Solanum lycopersicum: one gene and its partner. The protein of the gene in region 1 interacts with the protein of each later gene in a pairwise test. Links are inferred from orthologs where the notes say so. Each region holds a gene or a part of one and is shown in the gene's direction. Other genes may lie near its edges. The genes, in order: eukaryotic translation initiation factor 3 subunit E and COP9 signalosome complex subunit 7.

Evidence for each region.
Region 2: the proteins of eukaryotic translation initiation factor 3 subunit E (region 1) and COP9 signalosome complex subunit 7 interact in binary tests that used the Arabidopsis thaliana proteins (3 or more experiments, as listed by UniProt). The link is inferred for Solanum lycopersicum from reciprocal best matches to the Arabidopsis thaliana genes EIF3E and FUS5.

Annotation. Positions count from the first base shown.
Region 1 is NC_090809.1:60,502,811-60,512,520, reverse strand, and holds eukaryotic translation initiation factor 3 subunit E, read left to right. Parts: upstream 1-3,897; 5' UTR 3,898-4,047; coding exon 4,048-4,258; intron 4,259-5,310; coding exon 5,311-5,465; intron 5,466-5,636; coding exon 5,637-5,864; intron 5,865-5,995; coding exon 5,996-6,117; intron 6,118-6,575; coding exon 6,576-6,795; intron 6,796-7,113; coding exon 7,114-7,256; intron 7,257-7,438; coding exon 7,439-7,576; intron 7,577-7,669; coding exon 7,670-7,769; 3' UTR 7,770-8,006; downstream 8,007-9,710. Other genes in the region: calcium-binding protein CBP, read left to right, coding at 1-572, 1,896-1,942, 2,058-2,233, 2,340-2,358, 2,458-2,562; CKX7 (cytokinin oxidase/dehydrogenase-like 7 precursor), read right to left, coding at 8,446-8,773, 8,867-9,129, 9,221-9,481. UniProt on the Arabidopsis thaliana protein: Component of the eukaryotic translation initiation factor 3 (eIF-3) complex, which is involved in protein synthesis of a specialized repertoire of mRNAs and, together with other initiation factors, stimulates binding of mRNA and methionyl-tRNAi to the 40S ribosome.
Region 2 is NC_090800.1:79,725,167-79,734,224, forward strand, and holds the end of COP9 signalosome complex subunit 7, read left to right. Parts: intron 1-496; coding exon 497-585; intron 586-1,319; coding exon 1,320-1,409; intron 1,410-1,746; coding exon 1,747-1,791; intron 1,792-1,876; coding exon 1,877-1,947; intron 1,948-4,839; coding exon 4,840-4,978; intron 4,979-5,056; exon of another isoform or gene 5,057-5,277; coding exon of another isoform or gene 5,278-5,297; coding exon 5,298-5,386; intron 5,387-5,806; coding exon 5,807-5,828; coding exon of another isoform or gene 5,829-5,833; 3' UTR 5,834-6,088; downstream 6,089-9,058. Other genes in the region: JRE1 (ethylene-responsive transcription factor 13), read left to right, coding at 8,379-8,987. UniProt on the Arabidopsis thaliana protein: Component of the COP9 signalosome complex (CSN), a complex involved in various cellular and developmental processes such as photomorphogenesis and auxin and jasmonate responses.

The DNA of each region.
Region 1 (9,710 bases):
TTCACCTTACGGTGCTCCACCACCGTCTTCAGCATCACCCTACGGTGCTTCACCATCACCTTACGGTGCTCCACCATCACCCTACGGTGCTCCACCTCCTCAATCTCACTCCCCTTACGCTCCCGTTCCGTCTCCCTACGGCGCCGGAGCACCGTCTTACGGTGATCCGCATAAACCCCCAAAAGAGAATAAACCACAGTCTTCATCCCCTTACGGTGGGGCAGGGGCTGGGTACCCTGCTCCACCTCCTTCGGCTCCGTACGGTGATCCGAACAAACCACCGAAGGATAGCCACTCACAACCGTCTGCTCCTTATGGTGGATACCACGCGCCACCTCCTGCTGGGCCTTATGGAGCTAGTAGCCCTTTTGCATCTCTTGTGCCGTCTGCTTTTCCACCGGGTACCGATCCGAATATTGTAGCTTGTTTCCAGCTCGCGGATCAGGATGGGAGTGGGTTAATTGATGATAAGGAGCTGCAGAAGGCGCTTTCTTCGTATAATCAGAGCTTCAGCTTGAGGACTGTTCATCTGCTTATGTATCTCTTCACCAATACCAACACTAGAAAAATCGGTAATAATCTTAATTCCAAATAATTGAGCTCAAAATTCACTTATGAAATGTTTCAGTGTTTGCCATGTATTGTAGAAAATGATCAGATCGATGATGAATTTCGTGCTGAAAATGTTAGGTTGTGTACAATTATTAATAACAACATGCAGTATACAGTTGATTTGTGACTGAGGGTGGTTGAAAAAGGTCATTTGGAGTAATCTTTCGTAATAAAGAAGTAATCTTGATCAAGACTTTAGGGGTTGCTTGGTATGAGGGACGAAGGGTAACAGTTATGTGATTATTTTATCATGCATTTGCTTAGGAGTATTAGTCAGTCCCACAGATAAATATATGGTCGGATAACTAATCCAGTGGGATATCCGAGGCATACCTTATACCAAACAACCCCTTATGGTTGTATTGGTGGGTCATCCTTAAGTGTATGTTGGCCAGGATGATATGACTTAAACAGGCCTATAAGACTTTGATATGGCCATTGAAATTCCTGTATGAATTGTTCTTTATGTCCTCGTCCAGGATTAGGTGGAAGTTATTGAGTTTGTTGTTCCTTGAGTTGATGACTGTGTGGCCATTTTATGTATTCTGAATTGGCGATGTAATGAATCAACGTCATCAGGGAAGAAAGGTGTGAAAAGACCCTGTTGGTCCATCAATGGGGGAATGTAGGGTGGGATTTCCATATAAAAAGAGAAATAACATTTTCTTAGCATGGAGATCTTACATAATGCAGATTGGACGTTCCTACTACTTATGGAAGTGGTGTTCTCAATTGAGCAATATCTAGCTTAATTTAACACTGTCTTGCACTATTAGTTCTCTTTGGAAGGAACAGAAGCAAGTCTTTGACAATGTGGTGATAGCGGCCGAACTTCCGTTTAGACTTCTCTCTTTTTTCCCCTCTCTTCCTTTCTCCTTCCTTTTTTGAAGTTAGAATCTCTTTAGACCATGTGTTGAGCCATTAGGGTGGCAAAACAACTACCTACATAAGATGCAACTTTGTATATTGATAATTCTACGCAGAAACTTTAGTTTTAGCATCTAGTAGTAAATGATTGTGTGCTAACATGTTCGCCAGACTTCCTTTTTGCTCTATGTTTTTTCAAGTGGAAAGATGAATGCAGAACTATTCCCTTTTTGTTCTATATATTTTTCATTCCAAATGTTATTGGTTTTTGAAGTTGATCAAGAGTATGGTTTAATGATGTTGATCGAATTTGAGTTGGAGATATACCTTAACGAAGCTTTGTTCTTTCAATGAGCCTATAGATCTTTCCCTCTTTCTTTTTCTGCCTGTTGATCTATTTTCTGCCCTGTAAGCAGGTCCCAAAGAATTCACTTCAGTGTTCTACAGTCTCCAAGAATGGAGGGTAAGTTAAAGAATCTTTTACGGTTAGCTTTGCACTTCTTTGTGTTTTCCGTTTTGCTTGGGAAAACAAATCTCCCTTTCTATGGAAGTTGATTGGAACTTCCTGTGTAATGCAGGGAATTTTCGAGAGATTTGATAGGGATAGGAGTGGAAAAATTGATTCATCTGAATTGAGGGACGCGTTACTTAGCCTGGGATATGCTGTATCACCTTCTATCCTGGAATTGCTGGTCTCCAAGTTTGATAAAACTGGTGGAAAGAGTAGAGCCATTGAATATGATAACTTCATTGAGTATGTTTCTGCATCAATGCAAATCTTTCTTCGTATATATCTTCTATTTTGTTCTATGCTTTGCTAACTTTGCCTTTTGTTCTTCCGTTTTATTTGCTTGATTCAGGTGCTGCCTCACCGTTAAAGTAAGCTTACAGTAACTTCGTATATTCTGGCATTCGTGTACCATTCCATTTTATCCAGCTAGGTGTTTTTTCTCACATACGCTCTCATTTCTTTTGCAGGGGCTAACTGAGAAGTTCAAGGAGAAGGATACTTCATATTCTGGCTCTGCTACGTTCACTTATGAGTCGTTCATGCTAACAGTTTTGCCTTTCCTGATTGCTTAGAGACGAGGCATATGAATTTCACAATTACGGGTGGTCTTACTATGATTTACCAGCTTCGTTTTCGTTTGTTTTCAGTAGAGAGATGTTTGCTTCTGTTAGTTTTTGTAAACAGTTTCCAGGGTGAAGTTGAATTACTTGCTTGTAGAAGTCTAGTGTGTTGTAGAGCAGTTAATGGGCTATCAAAACTAAATCCTTTGTGTTTCTTTTGATGTGTTTACTATTCGATCATGACTACTTTAAAGAGTATTTGGTTCGGCTTATTTTAGAAAATAAAATATAAACAAATCTATTTCAAGGAGCCCAAAAGTCTACTTTTATCTTTATTTTAAGGTTAATAAAGGGTTGTGCTTTATTCATATGGAGTTTATTTGGTATTGAATTACAAGACTTTTCAGAATAATGTAGCCCTATGAATTAAAAACAAGAACGACAAGAATGATAATACTATTAGACCTCTTATCAAATTTATGCATAGTGATCTTTAATGAAAATAATTTTTAGCGGGATAAAATATTGACATTAATAAAGAGTGTTAAAGTCACATGGGCATTAGATAAGTGTCATTAAAATTAATATCGTTAAAGACTTTAGGAACATATAACGATCATTAGTTGGAATATGCTCTGGTGTTTTTTTTAGCCATATTTTGCCACTTTGGTAATAAAATGCATTCAGTTGCCCAAAAAAATAATTTAAGATAAGTTGTTTATTCTTTTTACTATAGCATGTGAATATATGGAACTCATCTTTATTTTAAAACTACTCCTAGGAGTAGTATATAGAGTTCAAAAAATGATAATCGAATATTATAAAATTAACATATTCGAGTGAAATTGTTTTGATGAAGCACGTTCACAGGGTCAAACAAAGATGGTGATAGTTAGTAATGATAATCGTGAAGTGATGACTATAAGTGATTGATTATAATTGTTAAAAATGAAGGTAATAATTGACGATATTAGTAAAAAAATGACGTATATTGTTATTGAAGATGGTTAGTGACATAGTATAATAAATAATGGTTGAAGGAGGTTGCAATTAGAGATACTAAGATTATTCGATAGTAGAAATAATTTGATGGTCATCGTTCGATAGTGGATCGATTATAAAAATTAATAATTATTGATAATAGTTAGCGTAATATTTAACAATATTATTATGATAATACTTTTACCTTATTGTTTTTAGAAATCAACACTTTTGGATTTTTTTAAAAATTCAATCAAACAAATTATTTTCTATCGTAAAAATCAAAACCAAAACAAAAAAAAAAGAAAAAGAAAAAGTAGTTGTATTGAAGATGGGGTTAAAGGTAACAATATTTAAAACCCAAGGGGGAGTTTCAACATTATTTATTCCTTACAGCAAAAAAGACGAAACCCTAGAAATCTTTCTTCTACCGATCCACTTCTCATCTTTTCAGTTTCTCTGGTTCTGCACGGCGGCGAGTTTTGTGGTTGCTATCTCTTACCGACAGTAGCAATCATGGCGTCGAAGTACGATTTGACGCCACGTGTAGCGCAGCAATTGGACATTCACTTGATTTTCCCGTTACTGGAGTTTTTGCAAGAGCAGGGATTATACCCAGATGAATATATACTCAAGGCGAAGATTGAGCTGCTTAATCACACTAACATGGTTGATTATGCTATGGATATTCATAAGTCTCTCTATCATACTGACGATGTGCCTCAAGGTATCATTTAATTTTTTCGCTTCGTGTTTCCAATTGATTTTTTTGTTTATTAATCTTAATACTTGTGCTTTTTTTTTTTAGCAAAAGGGGTTTTTTTTTGGGGGGGTGGGGTTGTGAATTTTATGGATATTGTTTATACAAGTTGTCTATGTGCTGTTCCTCAAGGTTATCTCTTTCCCCCCTTTGTAGTAGTGAATACGCATTGATTTGTGTGTTGTGTGGGGTGGGGTTGTACGTCAAGGTTTCTCTTTCTTTCCCTTTGGTATGAATGCCCGTTGATTTGTGCCCTTACTGATCGAAATACCTTGTGCCCTTTTCAGCATGAAGGTTTTCGTGTGTGGTGTGGGGTTGTTAGTTTTAATGGATATGGTCTCTATAGAAGTTGTAGAAGTTGTCCTTCAGGTGTCTCCTGTTTCCCTTCATATTGGTGTATGTTTACATATTGGTCCACGTATTGGTGAATGCTTATTTATTTGTTGCTTCACTTAATGCTTTTGCACTTTTAACAAAAGGTGTTCTTTTTTGGGGTGGTGATATGGTGGTAGTTGTAATTTTGATGGTTCTGGTCTGTAGAAGTTGTTTAAAATTTATTCGAAGGGGATAATCTGTATAGTTGATGTATAAGAGTAAAAAAATCTGGTGACTTAGCAGTGCCCTTTTTAGCATAGAAGTTGTTTTCTTGTGGGGGTATTGTAATTCTGTTGGGGCAGTCTCCGTAGGTTTTCTTTGGAGTTGTCCCTTGAGGAATCTGTATAGTTGTGATCAGATAGAGATTTGATATGGGAGGCAATTTTGACGTTGTTGTCTGGATTTTCTGTTTGAGCTTTACAGTAAATGCATGCAATGTATGTAGATTAAAACCTTCTTGGTGTACTTAGATAAGATAAACTGTTGGTACACATACGTGTCGGTACAGAGTCTAACCATTTGCGACTTGCCCTCAGGGATTCCTCTGTTATTAAAAAAGTTTAGTTTGAGCAGAAGTGATTTTGGGAGTTCCTTTACATGTTTAAATTCTGCACTGTCTTTATAATTGCCGTTTGATTGTTCAGAAATGATGGAGAGGAGAGCCGAGGTTGTGGCAAGGTTGAAAGCACTTGAGGAAGCTGCAGCCCCATTGATCACTTTTTTGCAGAATTCCAGTGCTGTGCAGGAGTTGAGAGCTGACAAACAGCACAATCTTCAGTTGCTCCAGGAGCGGTACCAGGTGCATAGATCTAGTTTGATTTACATGATATAGAGTTCCTTCTTCTTTAGTACTTAATGTTGTATAATTAATAATATACTTGTTAAAGGGATCACAAACAGAAGTTGGTCTCTAGCTAATTTTGTGAATATACATTTTTTATTTTAGTAATGCTCTTACAAACCTGTCCAGATTGGTCCGGACCAGATAGAGGCATTGTATCAATATGCCAAATTTCAGTTTGAATGTGGAAACTATTCTGGTGCTGCTGATTATCTTTACCAGTACCGAGCATTGTGCACAAACAGTGACAGGAGCGTCAGTGCATTGTGGGGAAAGCTTGCAGCGGAGATACTAATGCAGAATTGGGATATTGCACTCGAGGAACTCAACCGCTTGAAAGAAATTATCGACTCAAAGGTAATATTTTGCATATATTGAGTCAACAATCTGTCTGTTTGAGTTAGTCTTACCAAGTTGAGTATCCTGTAGGAAAAAACTGAATGATCCTCAGTTTACCAAGTGTACTAAAAGTGTCGCTTGTCTTGCAGAGTTTCTCTACTCCGTTGAATCAAGTTCAGAATAGAATATGGCTAATGCATTGGAGTCTATTCATCTTCTTCAACCATGACAATGGCAGGACACTGATCATTGACCTGTTTAACCAGGACAAGTATGCCAACTGTACTTTAGTTGCTATTGCTTATAGATGATTGTTTTCATTTGCTGCTTCATTTTAGATTTCCCCATCCTGTTTGAGCTAGGCATTTTTTCTGATACTATCACCTACCGAGTATGATGTAGAGAAATATTTTAGGAAGCTCCGATTACCTAGTTCTTTCCCTTAGTGGGAAAATGGAGAAAACTAGATGAATTAGAATGAAACATGATCTGGAGGGTCAGGAACACACTGTATTTCTTATTTGCATACAGCAGAATTATGTTTGAAATATAGTTTTCTTATTCCAAAATGTTTGAAATAAATATTGCTCTTCTTTTGTGGTAACATACATTAAGACAGTATTCTTCTTGATATGTCTCGATTAAAGTAGCTGTTATTTTTCCTTTTGTTGGTATTCTATGGATTTACATCTTCCCTTTGAGCTTTTCTAAATCATTGAAGTCTTGCAGATACTTGAATGCCATTCAAACAAGTGCTCCCCACTTGCTGCGGTACTTGGCTATTGCATTTATTGTCAACAAAAGAAGAAGACCTCAATTTAAGGACTTTATAAAGGTTATTCAGCAGGAGCAACACTCTTGTAAAGATCCCATCACAGAGTTTTTGGCATGTATTTACGTCGACTATGATTTTGATGGGGCACAGGAGAAGATGAAGGAGTGCGAAGAGGTAAGCTTTTGTGCGTAGCTTATCCGCTTTGATGCATGGTCACATCATAGTTGTATGATTCATTTCTTGCATATCAGAAGTAGAAACTGAACTTTTCTTTAAATAAGTTGTAATTGACTTTAAGATGATATGATATATGAAGTGAAGATTGTATTTTGGAAGTATAAGCGCAGGACTCTTTGCAAATATATGCAAGTTTTGTAGACTTTGGACATGCTAGTTTCTGATACTCGAAGCCAAGTATCTTTAGTATAGCCACTGAGCTCTTCCCGTCAGTGCAGCTCTTTTTACTCATTTTAACATGGAGGCTATATGCAGCTAATATTGAATGACCCATTCCTTGGAAAAAGAGCTGAAGAGGGCAGTTTCTCCTCTGTGCCATTGAGAGATGAATTCCTTGAAAATGCTCGTCTTTTTATCTCTGAGACCTACTGCCGCATTCACCAACGCATTGACATGGGGTATGTAGCTAATTCTTCAAAGTTACTTTCTAAATCTATTTTGGGGTTCCTTCCCACTCCCCTTGCCCATAGTTTTTTGTAATATTAGGTATACCCCTTTTGTTTGTTACCTGTTGAGAGGGCTTAAGAAAGCAGAGTTGTGCCCATTTAATAACCATTTTCTTTCATTTCATAAATGTCAGGGTTCTAGCTGAGAAGCTTAACTTGAACCTTGAGGAGGCAGAGCGATGGATGGTGAATCTTATCAGGACCTCAAAGCTTGATGCCAAGATAGACACTGAAACCGGGACAGTTACAATGGAACCAAATCAGCCTAATGTGTAAGTTTATATACAGATGTACCTTATCGAAATGTTCAATGCGTTGACCCATTTTAGCATACACCTGATGTTTATGAGCATTGTCATGTTCAGGTACGAGCAGCTCATCGATCACACCAAGCCCCTTTCTGGACGCACGTACAAATTAGTCAGTCAGCTTCTTGAACATGCACAAACACAACTTGCTAGATAGTTTGGTTGAGGACATTAAGCTCGTGCCAATTTTGCATTGCTCCCGTACCTGATTAACACCTTTATATTCAAGAATGTTGCTTATGTTAATTCCTGGATTTCCCTTGGAGGAAATTTTGAGATACATGATGAATTATACATTAGTTTCTTTTTTATCTTGTGTTGTCTCCATTGGAAGTGGTATGCCTTTGCATTTTAGTACTCGTTTTTGCCATGAAAAAATTTGTTTTAGCTGGAATTTGCCAGGGCATTTTGTTTCATATGATGCTTTACTCTTCGCTCGTGATCACTTAGAGCCCTCTGTTCATCAATAGGTACATAATAAATCTAGTGTCCATTACAAGGCGATGTCAATGCATTATTTTTGGTTAAATATTTTGGAAAATCAATTCATCTATAGATGACAAATTCAAAAAATGAAGTTTATAAGTGACGTTTCATATTTATCGTCTTCCTACCCTCCAATACATCTCATCTTCAAGTTGGATAGCATTTATATGATACGATTTGCTCGTCTACCGGGATAGGGGAAAGGAAAATGTACAATTGTTTATCGAAATTCTTCACCTAATAACCAGATTTTCATAACATATAGGGATGACAATGGGATGTGATGGAACTTAAAACCTCAAAAATTTTTAACCCGCCCCGTCCCACTCAAGAATGTACATTTGTGATCATTCATGTTCACAGTCTGCCGTCCTTCTGAAAATCCTCTGTCCTGGAGCAAGTATAGCCAAAGGGTCATATGTAGATTTCCTCCTAGCAAATGTATCCCAATGAGGACCAAAATGATGCTTCCACTCTTCCTGAGTCTTGTGATTTGGCAAATATTGTTTCATTCCAATACGCGTTTTTTCACAAAAACTCAGTATTCTGTTGTTTTGATCTATGATGTGTTCTAGTCCATCTTTTCCTGTTGAAAAAGGCATAGCAGATGACAGGAACGCGATGAGGTAGAAAACATCTTCATCAGGTGTAACCATTGATGTTCCTTTTCTCCACCTGAAACATAGATCATTCAAGATATATATAACTGTTAGGAAAACGCGTATCATTAAGAGATTTGTAAGTTGTGAAGAATCAAGAATGTAGTACTTTGATTTGTTGACAGGGTAGATGAGTAGAGGACCATTGCTTGTATCAGTAAGAATCTTTCCGAAAACTTCTTGAGCAAATTCAAGAATCCTGCTTTTTGGTATTAGAAGATTTAGCCATGGATGAGGAACATCCCATAACCCCTTCTCTTGTAGCTTCATCTCGGAGACATGAACTCTATCGAGGAACTCAACGTAGGAGACTTCTGATAGAAACAACGTTGATCGGATATAACTCAACTTTGATAAGAGTATATCAATGTCCTGTAGTAATTATTTAGGAAACAAGGTCAATATTTTACTGGAGTTATCCGAAACCTGGAAAAGTTAACTGATTTTGATGTGTTTTTTTTACCTGATCAGTACTATATGTGTCCTCTGGATTGAAGTATTTCGCAACTTCTAAACAGAATAAAACTCTGCCTTCTGAACTAAAATTACTAGCTTGAAGTGGATCTTTAGGATTGAAAGTAGACCTCCAGTTATTCAATAATCCAGTGCTGTTTATAATGACGAATCCTTCGATATAGTCAAATGTACTCTGAGATGATATCAAGTCCTCTTGATCATTCGAAAATGCAGCAAAATCTGAATACAATACTCTGATCCACTTGACCTGTCAAGTAAATAGTTACAGCAATGCTGAATGAGCTTGCTTTTCTTTTCATAGGGTCCTCAAAGTTGGCACCAGTTTTCATTTCGACACTTTAACTGAGGTTAGTACCTATCGAGCACTCACAACCTTAGATAAAGTCACAGAAAGGGATGAGGTTGGAGCGTTTGATAGGTAGTGAAATTAGTTGATATGTCAAAATGAAAACTGGAGCCAAATTCTATTGACGGTG
Region 2 (9,058 bases), on another chromosome or scaffold:
TACTCGGATTTAGACGTGTTAATAATTCATATTCAATTAGACATCTTAATTTAATCTTAACTGAACAAAGGAGGCCTTAACTGCCTTTTCTGCTGCTGTGAACTTCTTACTATCATGGGTGAGTTGCTTTGTAACATCCTTAAGTTTGCTAGTGCTCACTGTCACTTACCACTTACCTTTTTGGAAAAAGATTTAGTGTTGGTGTTAAAACTTCCACTAGAAAGAGGGACTGTTTATTTCTCTTACACATGTACTCTTTCTCAGGCAAAAACAGAGACAGTTGCAGGTTTGATTTCCTTTTTGTTTTTCCTAGTACCAAAGTGATGAAATTTCATTGACAATAATTGCTTAAAATACAGATTAGGGAAAATATCTTACTCTAATTGACCATATCTATGACTAAATATAGTTGTTTTATAAAGGAAGATGACGTACTCCTGAGTTCTATATGTAGCATTTCAAATTTGTCAATTTTAGCATGTGCGTTTTATTCTAGGTATTGCTGGCTGTCTTCCTCAGTTGGCGTCTGCCCAAGCTCTCAAGTTGAAGCAACTTACTGTGCTTACACTAGCTGATACAAGCAAGGTACACTACATATAAGTGGAATAAGCCTTTTGACATTGTAATTTATCTTATGGCAAAAGTGAGCAATTGATGCATCCTTAGTAACTTTGTCCCTTCAGCTAGTTAATGCCAAAAATGTAAGAGGCTTGGCTGAGCTTTGTGGTGCTTGTTTGTTGGAATTCTTGAATCTGGTCTGGGTAATGGATACAATCTATTAATTGGTACATGTAATTTATTGTCATTGGATCAGATCAGTACTATTAAAGTTGTTTGCTTAGCCTCCCTTACTTCTGAATGTGTTCAGTGTTGTTTCCTTCATTTTGTTGTGGAACATGCGAGTGTAGTCATCCCACTATGATAAAGTATTCCATTTGGTGATAACTCTAATAATGCTATTCAAGTAAATACTGGATACCTCACTTGTGGGATTACTTTGGGTATGCTGTTTTAAGTAAGTACCGGATACTTTGTTTTATGCTTACCTTGTTCAGTGTCAACAACTCCGTCTATCGTGCTATCTGTGAGATGTTTTCCGGTGATTTGCATGATTATCATATCTCTCAAGTTCATTTCTCATAATGGAAAAGAACAAAATATATTTATGTTTTTCAGTTTTTAACATTCTTTTGTGTTTCTTCATGACAACCCTTTTCATATATCAACAACCTTTGATAATGATGTTGATATTCACTTCTTTCACTGATGTCCTTTGTTATTAGAGTCACTGCCAGTAATGACTCCTTTCCTCTTTCCAGGAGCTTCCATATGATCAACTTATGCAGGAGTTGGATGTCACAAATGTGCGTGAACTTGAAGATTTTCTCATAAATGAGTGCATGTATGTGGTGAGTATTAGCTCTCACTCCTTGTATCATTGTGTGATGAATAGAGATACTTTGTACTTTCCAATATTGGAAGTATGTCGGACTTAAGTTTATTGTAGGAATTTGCTTCTATTGATGTTCTTATGATAGTTTATTTAGCCTTCTGGATAGAAATTCAACTTATTTTTTAAATTGGGTTCTGGTGCCTCATAGGTTATTGGTGGCTTACTTTGCCTTTTCCTTCCCTTCCTTTATTCACTTTCTCTTTGGGTTGGGGGTTGGGATAATAACTGATTTGATGTCTCAATCTGCTATTAAAAGAATTAATAATTCCCCATTTTTATGCATCCGTTGACAGGGCATAGTTAGAGGAAAGCTGGATCAGTTGAAAAGATGCTTTGAGGTTGGTATGGTGTGTTTGCTGTTTCGCCAACTCTTGGTTGCAGCGTGCTGACATGGGGTAATTAACTGTCTCCGCACAATTATAGGTACAATTTGCTGCAGGGAGAGATCTCAGACCCGGTCAATTGGGGAATATGCTACAGACATTAACTGACTGGTATATCTATGTTCTTGTTTAGATGACTCTGATAGCCATATCATTATATCATGCCCTATTATCTCTGTCTGAGTATTATTTAGTTGTTTCTTAGTTGGGCTTGGGGTTGTGTATTGACTTTACGATAGGATCTTTCTATTGATATTCTGTTGTCCTATTTATATGACAAACATCTTCTGTTCTTGAAGAGTTGTTGAGTTCTCTTTTCTTCCCTTTCGTGTCTTGATCTCGTTACCTTCATAATGACTTACTGAGCTGTAGTTCGTATGCCAGTTTCTAAGATTTTTTTTATATCCGCCTTAAACAAAACAGCTAGTTGAGGTTATAGAAGTGATATGAGTTGCATAATCTGCTTATGGGGTCTGACCAATTTCTTCAGTAATGTATAACGTTGGATTAGACCATGGTGAAGAGCAGCTCTTATGATTGTGATGTTAATACCTTTGAGCTGAGGCTGCCGACACAAAGATGACTGAATTGGATATTGATCGTAAGCTGAAAAATAAGGACTTCGCTTCTGGTGGAAACATATCTTTGTAATTTCAATTTGAATTCTCACTTACCAAAAAGTTTCAAGTGAAGTCTTTAAAAATTTTCAAAGCAGGACACATAAAGAACAGGATGCTCTGCCTTAAAAAAAAATCAACACTGGGTTTACCCATCACAACTACCAAAAAAAGAAGCAATAAACTCTTAAAACTAGATCGGATAGCGAATCAAAAGCTATGGAATTTTTAGTGGACGGACTGAGAAAATAGTTATTATTGAAAAAGTTGAGCTCAGTCACCTTATCTTTTTCATTTTTTTAATCCTAAAGGGGAAGTACCTTTCCTTTTGGAGGTAGGAAAATCAATGATCGGATAGCGAACCAAAAAAGCTATGGAACTTGGACGTGGGTCTTTTGAATCTTCATTTTTTTTTCTTTTTAAGAAAATCAAGTGCAGCCATTTCAGTTTGGTTGTAAGATCTGCCATTGTTGTTGGCCTACAATATTGATGATCAGATGGCATATTATTCTGATTTAGTTGCTGTTATTTGAAGTTGAGCACTACTGGCTAGAAACAATAAAATCTGTTAGGAGTAAGGGAAAGGAGATGTAGGTTTTGGTGTTCCCGGTGAGGCGCTTATAGAGTAAGTTAGTGGGTGGTTTTCTGTTCATATGGATAGGCAACGAGGGGCCTGGTAAGTCATGAGGGTCCATTGGAGGCTGTATTTAGTGTTGAAGTAGGTTTGATTAAGGAAGATGGGCGGAAAAACATGAAGTTAGGTTTGAAGAATGAGATTTAAAGAAAGAGTAAGTTTTCCTTTTAGTGCCATTGGTTGAAATGATGAAGGGAAGACAGGCAACATTGCGCATGCTGGCATGTGGCACAAGCTCAATGATGGATGTACCAAAGGGGAGGAGTAAAACATTGAGGCCTGCTGTCAAGATCTGAAACCTTGGGGGTTCTGGGAATTCTGCTTCTTGCTTGTTAAAGCTGAGAAGTGGAAAGTGAACAATTTGTCAAGTAAAGAGCCATCAGGCAACAGTAACAAATGCTTGTGTTTGTTGAAAAGGTCTAAAGAAAGCAGGATAGAATGAGGTTCTTGGGTAGTGGTGTTGCATTCATGGTTCTTTTATTTGAGCGCACTTTGAGATATTTAACTAGTTATTATTTGGTTGTATTATTTTGCATCTCCTCTTTGGATTTTTTTCTCTAAGTAAGTTGTGTTCATGTAGAGTTCTATTTTCTGATAAATTTATCGTATTTACCTGCCAAAGAGATTGTTGAGTGTGGATTGATGTTCGGATGTGTCCTTGTTGAGTCCTTGTGTCCATTGGATGATTTATTAGTCAATAAATTGGTTAAGTATGAAATTGTGTCGGGCATGTGTCGAAGTCATGTTCGGCGTGAAGTTGTGCTGAGACTGTTCACACAAACTTGCCTAGATGACGCATCTATGTTCACTAGTTTTGGAATATTGACTAGATTTAACCCATTATTAGTTGCCATTATATAGCACATCAGCATGTTATTCCTTGTCTATTCTGGTTTTAAGGAATTAAGGTTAGTATCCCGGGAGCCAATCCCGAGACCGATAAATGATTCAATCTAGGATCCCAATTTTGAGAATGTCATTATGCGAATGTTATTGAGATGCATGATTTCGTTTGAGCCACCTACACTTCCCCAAGTCGGTAGAAAATCTCACCATGCTGTGGGCTCCTAGGTCCACAGGATGGAAGAACTTATCGGAACACCTCTGTGGTATTTGCTAATTGATGCTGACTCAGAGGTCAGTGAAAAGGCTGCTTACTTGCCTTCTAGTTGTATGTTTTTATGAAGCTTCATTTAAGTTCTCTCTGGTATGGCATAAAAATCATCTATTTTTAGTGAACTTATCTACCTTGTTAAAAAATGAAAGAGAAATCATGTCAAGATGATCATTCATTTTGTTTGAGCTAATAATTGTCTTCCAGCCTTATTGTTGCCATTTTTACAACTGTTGATTATCCTAATCTATTTTTCAATTAGTAGTTCTACTTATTCTCTTATTGCAACTATGTGAACAACACAACTTTGGAAATGTAAATTTGGAACTTTTGTGGTGGAAATTATATGATAATTGTTTTTACTGAGTACAATCCCACACAACTTTCTATGCCATAAATCAAATGTAAATTGAATCTGCAGACTTGTGGTATAATGCCGAAGTTAGGTGAGGGATAAGATTAAAAGAGTTGGACGTTTTTGTGTATGCTGTGGTGTTACTCTGGTGTATGTGTTCCGTCTTACAATGAGAGGTCCTGGTGAAGTGTGAACTATGAATGTTCTGCATGCTATAACTATAAGATCTAACTGTAATTGTCAACCTACTCTCAAATTTATTTAATTTTTTGATAAAAAACAGGTTGACTACTTCAGACAATCTTCTTGTGTCAATTCAAGAGAAAATCAAATGGGCAGATACAATGAGTGAATCGGACAGGAAGCACCGGAAGGAAGTTGAAGAAAGGGTTGATGAGGTGAAGAAGTCACTCTCTTTGAAGGTGAGTACAGTATAGATTTTCAAGAGATGAGTTCTGTGTTGATTCTAAAAAGTAAAAACTATGGGCATAACTTGACAGTGCACCAGGCCATATTGAATGGCGAGCATGTCTTTCAGCTGATGGACTTGGTCTACCTGGGTTGTGAGATTCCTTTTTTGGGGTAGAATATCTTCGTAGTTTGCCCATTTGAGTCCTAATGACCCTCAGTTCGTGTTTAAGCTTTTTGTTATGTTGAAGACTCACTTTATATTTAAGTACTGGGATATTTTTGTCGATCTGTCTTACTTACTCTGTGGCAGAAGCTACAAACTGTAAGCAGGCCGACGTTGACTTCAGAGGGCATGAGGAGATCTACTCTGAATCTGGTGGAGTGATGGATTATGAGGAAGACCGAGGCCGACCGAAGAGGTAGTAGTAGTCTTATATATCCCGGGATTAAATTTTCCAGTCATTTAGCAGCTAGTCATGGTCTGTATATTGACCTATGAAATATATCACATTAAAAATCTGATAAGGGAAGAAAGATCCTATGATGCACAAGTGTGTGCTGTAGGGACTGCAGGGTCACTTCAATCCATTGCAAGAATGCTTCAAACCAAAAATATGAATTGGCGGAGACATGAAACCGCATCTATCCTTCCATGCCAGTTGAATGCTAGAAACCGTAGAAGTCTTTACTCTCTAATATCTTTACACTCCCGTGAATGTATTTTTACTCTTATTGGTAACTTGGACTGAGATTAAATTCTTTACACGGTTAGTGTGTATTTATATATTGTATAGATAGTCTCTCTCATCTGCTGATTTTTAACTTTGTAAAATTTGCAGGAGACGACACCCTATTGGTTAAGGTGATGGAGTTGGGGGCGATGTTAGGAAGAATTAGAGTGGCTGCTGGCCAGTTTTTTTTTTTTACCATAGATGCTTTCTGCTTTAGCAGACAGTTTCAACCCTTCTAAAAATTTGTCATGCTGTGAATGGAACTTGTAGACTCGAAGTACCCCATAGAGCCATATTTTGCACTTAACTCCATTATTTCCATCTTGTTTGCCTTTTTTGAGTTGGAAAGATTTTAATATGATGACGACGACGATGATGATGCGGCTGAAACTTGTGGAGCTGATTCATTTTACATTCATACAAGTCTATATGCTTTCATGATTTTTTTCCCCCAGGTTTTTGTTTTGAGTGATTGCTTTAAGGTACAGGTAATTTTCCATCTTCATAAGATAAAATTCATCATATGAGGTGATGAATTTTTCTGCTGAGATTGTGGGTAGTTAATTTACAATTAAATTGGTTATATTCTATAGTATATAATAAATATAATTAGGATTGCTTCTAGACTCAAAAAAGAAAAAGAAGAAAACCTTGGATAATTTCATCACGTTATATAATTATCTAGAATTTAGAATGCGCAATCAGAGAATTATACCTTATATTTCTAGAAGCTCCTCTAAATATGTCTGATATAAAGTTATTATTACCTTCCTGGAATATCAAGTTATGAATTTCAATGTCATTTTACGAAGATTTTTACCTTTTTAGCGTTGTGGATCTAAATATTCTGTACAGCTTTGGTTCGAATTTCTTTTTTTCGTAAAAAAAAATAACTATGATAAAAGTTTGTTTATTTATTAATAATATACTTTTCTTGGACTATGATGTCATATGTACGGACTAGGAAAATGGTGTTCCAAAATATTCCTTCTCATCTTGACTTTGATTATTTTTAACAACTCTCATTTACACGTTATTGGTAAATTATAAAATATTCCTATATTGTTGTTATATAGTTTTTGCTAATTTTAGTTGCAAAATTAGGATTTTTTTATTCTAACCTCGCTCGCTAATTTTAAATTTATCTTACTCTTTCTCCATATCTTCACATATTGGTGGATATAAATTCAAGAGAAAGAAATGCTACAATTAAGTTGCTTCAACAAGATTGTTGTTGGTATTAAAAATATCATTAGTTTCTCGATTCATTTTGGGGTCTAAAATAGTTTTTGAACTACTCATATATTTACTGGATTTAGACTTTCATAATTTTCTTTTCGTTAATTTTATTTTGAATTATTCAAGTTAAATTCTTATCTTAAAAAAAAAAAGGGGGAGGGGGGGGAGGTCAAACATGTCCCTAAACTATTCGAAAAGGTCTAGATATACTCTCTGTTTAAAGTTTGGCTCACTCATGCCCTCGTTGTTCAAATTTTCACCTAGATATGCCCTTGTGGACGTTAGTTGGTATGCTGGGCATATTCAGCTTATTTTTTATTTCTTTAAATGCCACATGGAATTGCAATGTCATTTTGACCTTACCACCAGCATACCAGCTAACGTCCACAAGGGCATATCTGAGCCAAAATTTGAACGGCGAGGACATGAGTGAGCCAAACTTTAAACGAAGTATATCTAAATCTTTTCGAATAATTTAGGGGCATATTTGACCCTTTTCCCCAAAAAAAAAGTATGTCTCCGATTAAAACAATAGGGACTAAAATTGAAATTAACACATAAAGTCAGGGACCAAATACGTTCTGTTTCTAGTTAAAACTAATGTTTTATAAATTATAGTATTTAGTTTGCGTTCAGATCATCACATGTTATAATTTGTAATCTTTTAATTTTTTAAAATTGACTTGTTCTATATTTATAAGTATATAAGACATACGTACTTGTATATTCGTTGGGATTATAGATTACAATTTATAAATACCACTAAAAAAAGTTGGCCATATCGAACATTTTTTTTTAAAAAAAGAAGGAATTAATAATATAAGCAACAGCTAACCAGAAAATAAAGTAATATTTCCTATCAAATGAGTAGATGTTTCATTTTCTTTTTTATAATCGTGATATCTGAATAAATTTACACAAATTTCAATTAAATTTACAAAATATTTATTATCTTTCACCTACAATATACATATTACATATCTGATACCTCATGATATTCAACTTGCTTCGTGGAAACTAAATTATACCTCGAACAAAAAAGTGTTGGTAATTTAATAGTACCTTATTGGACAAAACAAAATGATACCTCAGTGTCCATACCAAGAATAATACATAATTAAATCAACTTTTATATTATATATATAATATAAAGAGAAGAATAAAAAAAAGTTATTAAAATATAAAGACATGTTAAAAATAACTACTTTGATTGATGGGCTCGTTGCTTCCACGAAATTCTTATAAATAACACTCTTGATAATTTTAAAAAAGAAAATAAAAACATGTGTTGGATCACATAAATATTATTTTTAAATAAATAGTGGACAATATGGTTCCCTATATAATGAAAAAAAATTAATTTAAACTTCATCATTCATTCACACTCATCAGCTCAATACTTCTTTCAATTTTAACAAAATTTTCCTTAAAAATTCAAAAAATGTACCAACAAAAATCAACAACCATCTCAGATTCTGATCTTTCCGTACTTGAAAACATTAAATTCCATCTTGTTAATGATTCCGATTTTTCTCAAATCCTTTCGATGTTCGATCCGATCAATATTAGTCATGCAGATATTATTAATAGTCCGAATTCGAGTTACGGTAGCTCTACATCAGCAGCAGAGATTAGTTGGGGAGATATGATAACTAATATTGATAGTCCGTGGCAATGTATCGATAAATTGGAGCACGAAGAGGCACCAAAAGAGGAGCCTTTAGTGGCACGTGGTGTGCACGCGCCTGGTGATTGGAACCGGTATAGAGGCGTCAGGCGGCGGCCGTGGGGTAAGTTCGCGGCGGAGATAAGAGACCCCGATAGGAAAGGTGCTAGGCTTTGGCTAGGGACTTACGGGACACCTGAAGATGCAGCATTGGCTTATGACCAAGCCGCTTATAAGATTCGTGGCTCTAAGGCTCGATTGAATTTTCCTCATTTAATCGGCTCGGACATATCTGAGCCAGTTAGAGTGGCTCCGCGTAAGCGTTGCCACTCGTCACAGTCATCATTGGTAGAATATACCTCTTCAAAGAAGAGAAAATTATAAATTAGCTAAAAATTAAATTAGAGGCAAAAATTGTATTAGTACTAATTGTCTTGCATTTGTTAAATATGGTG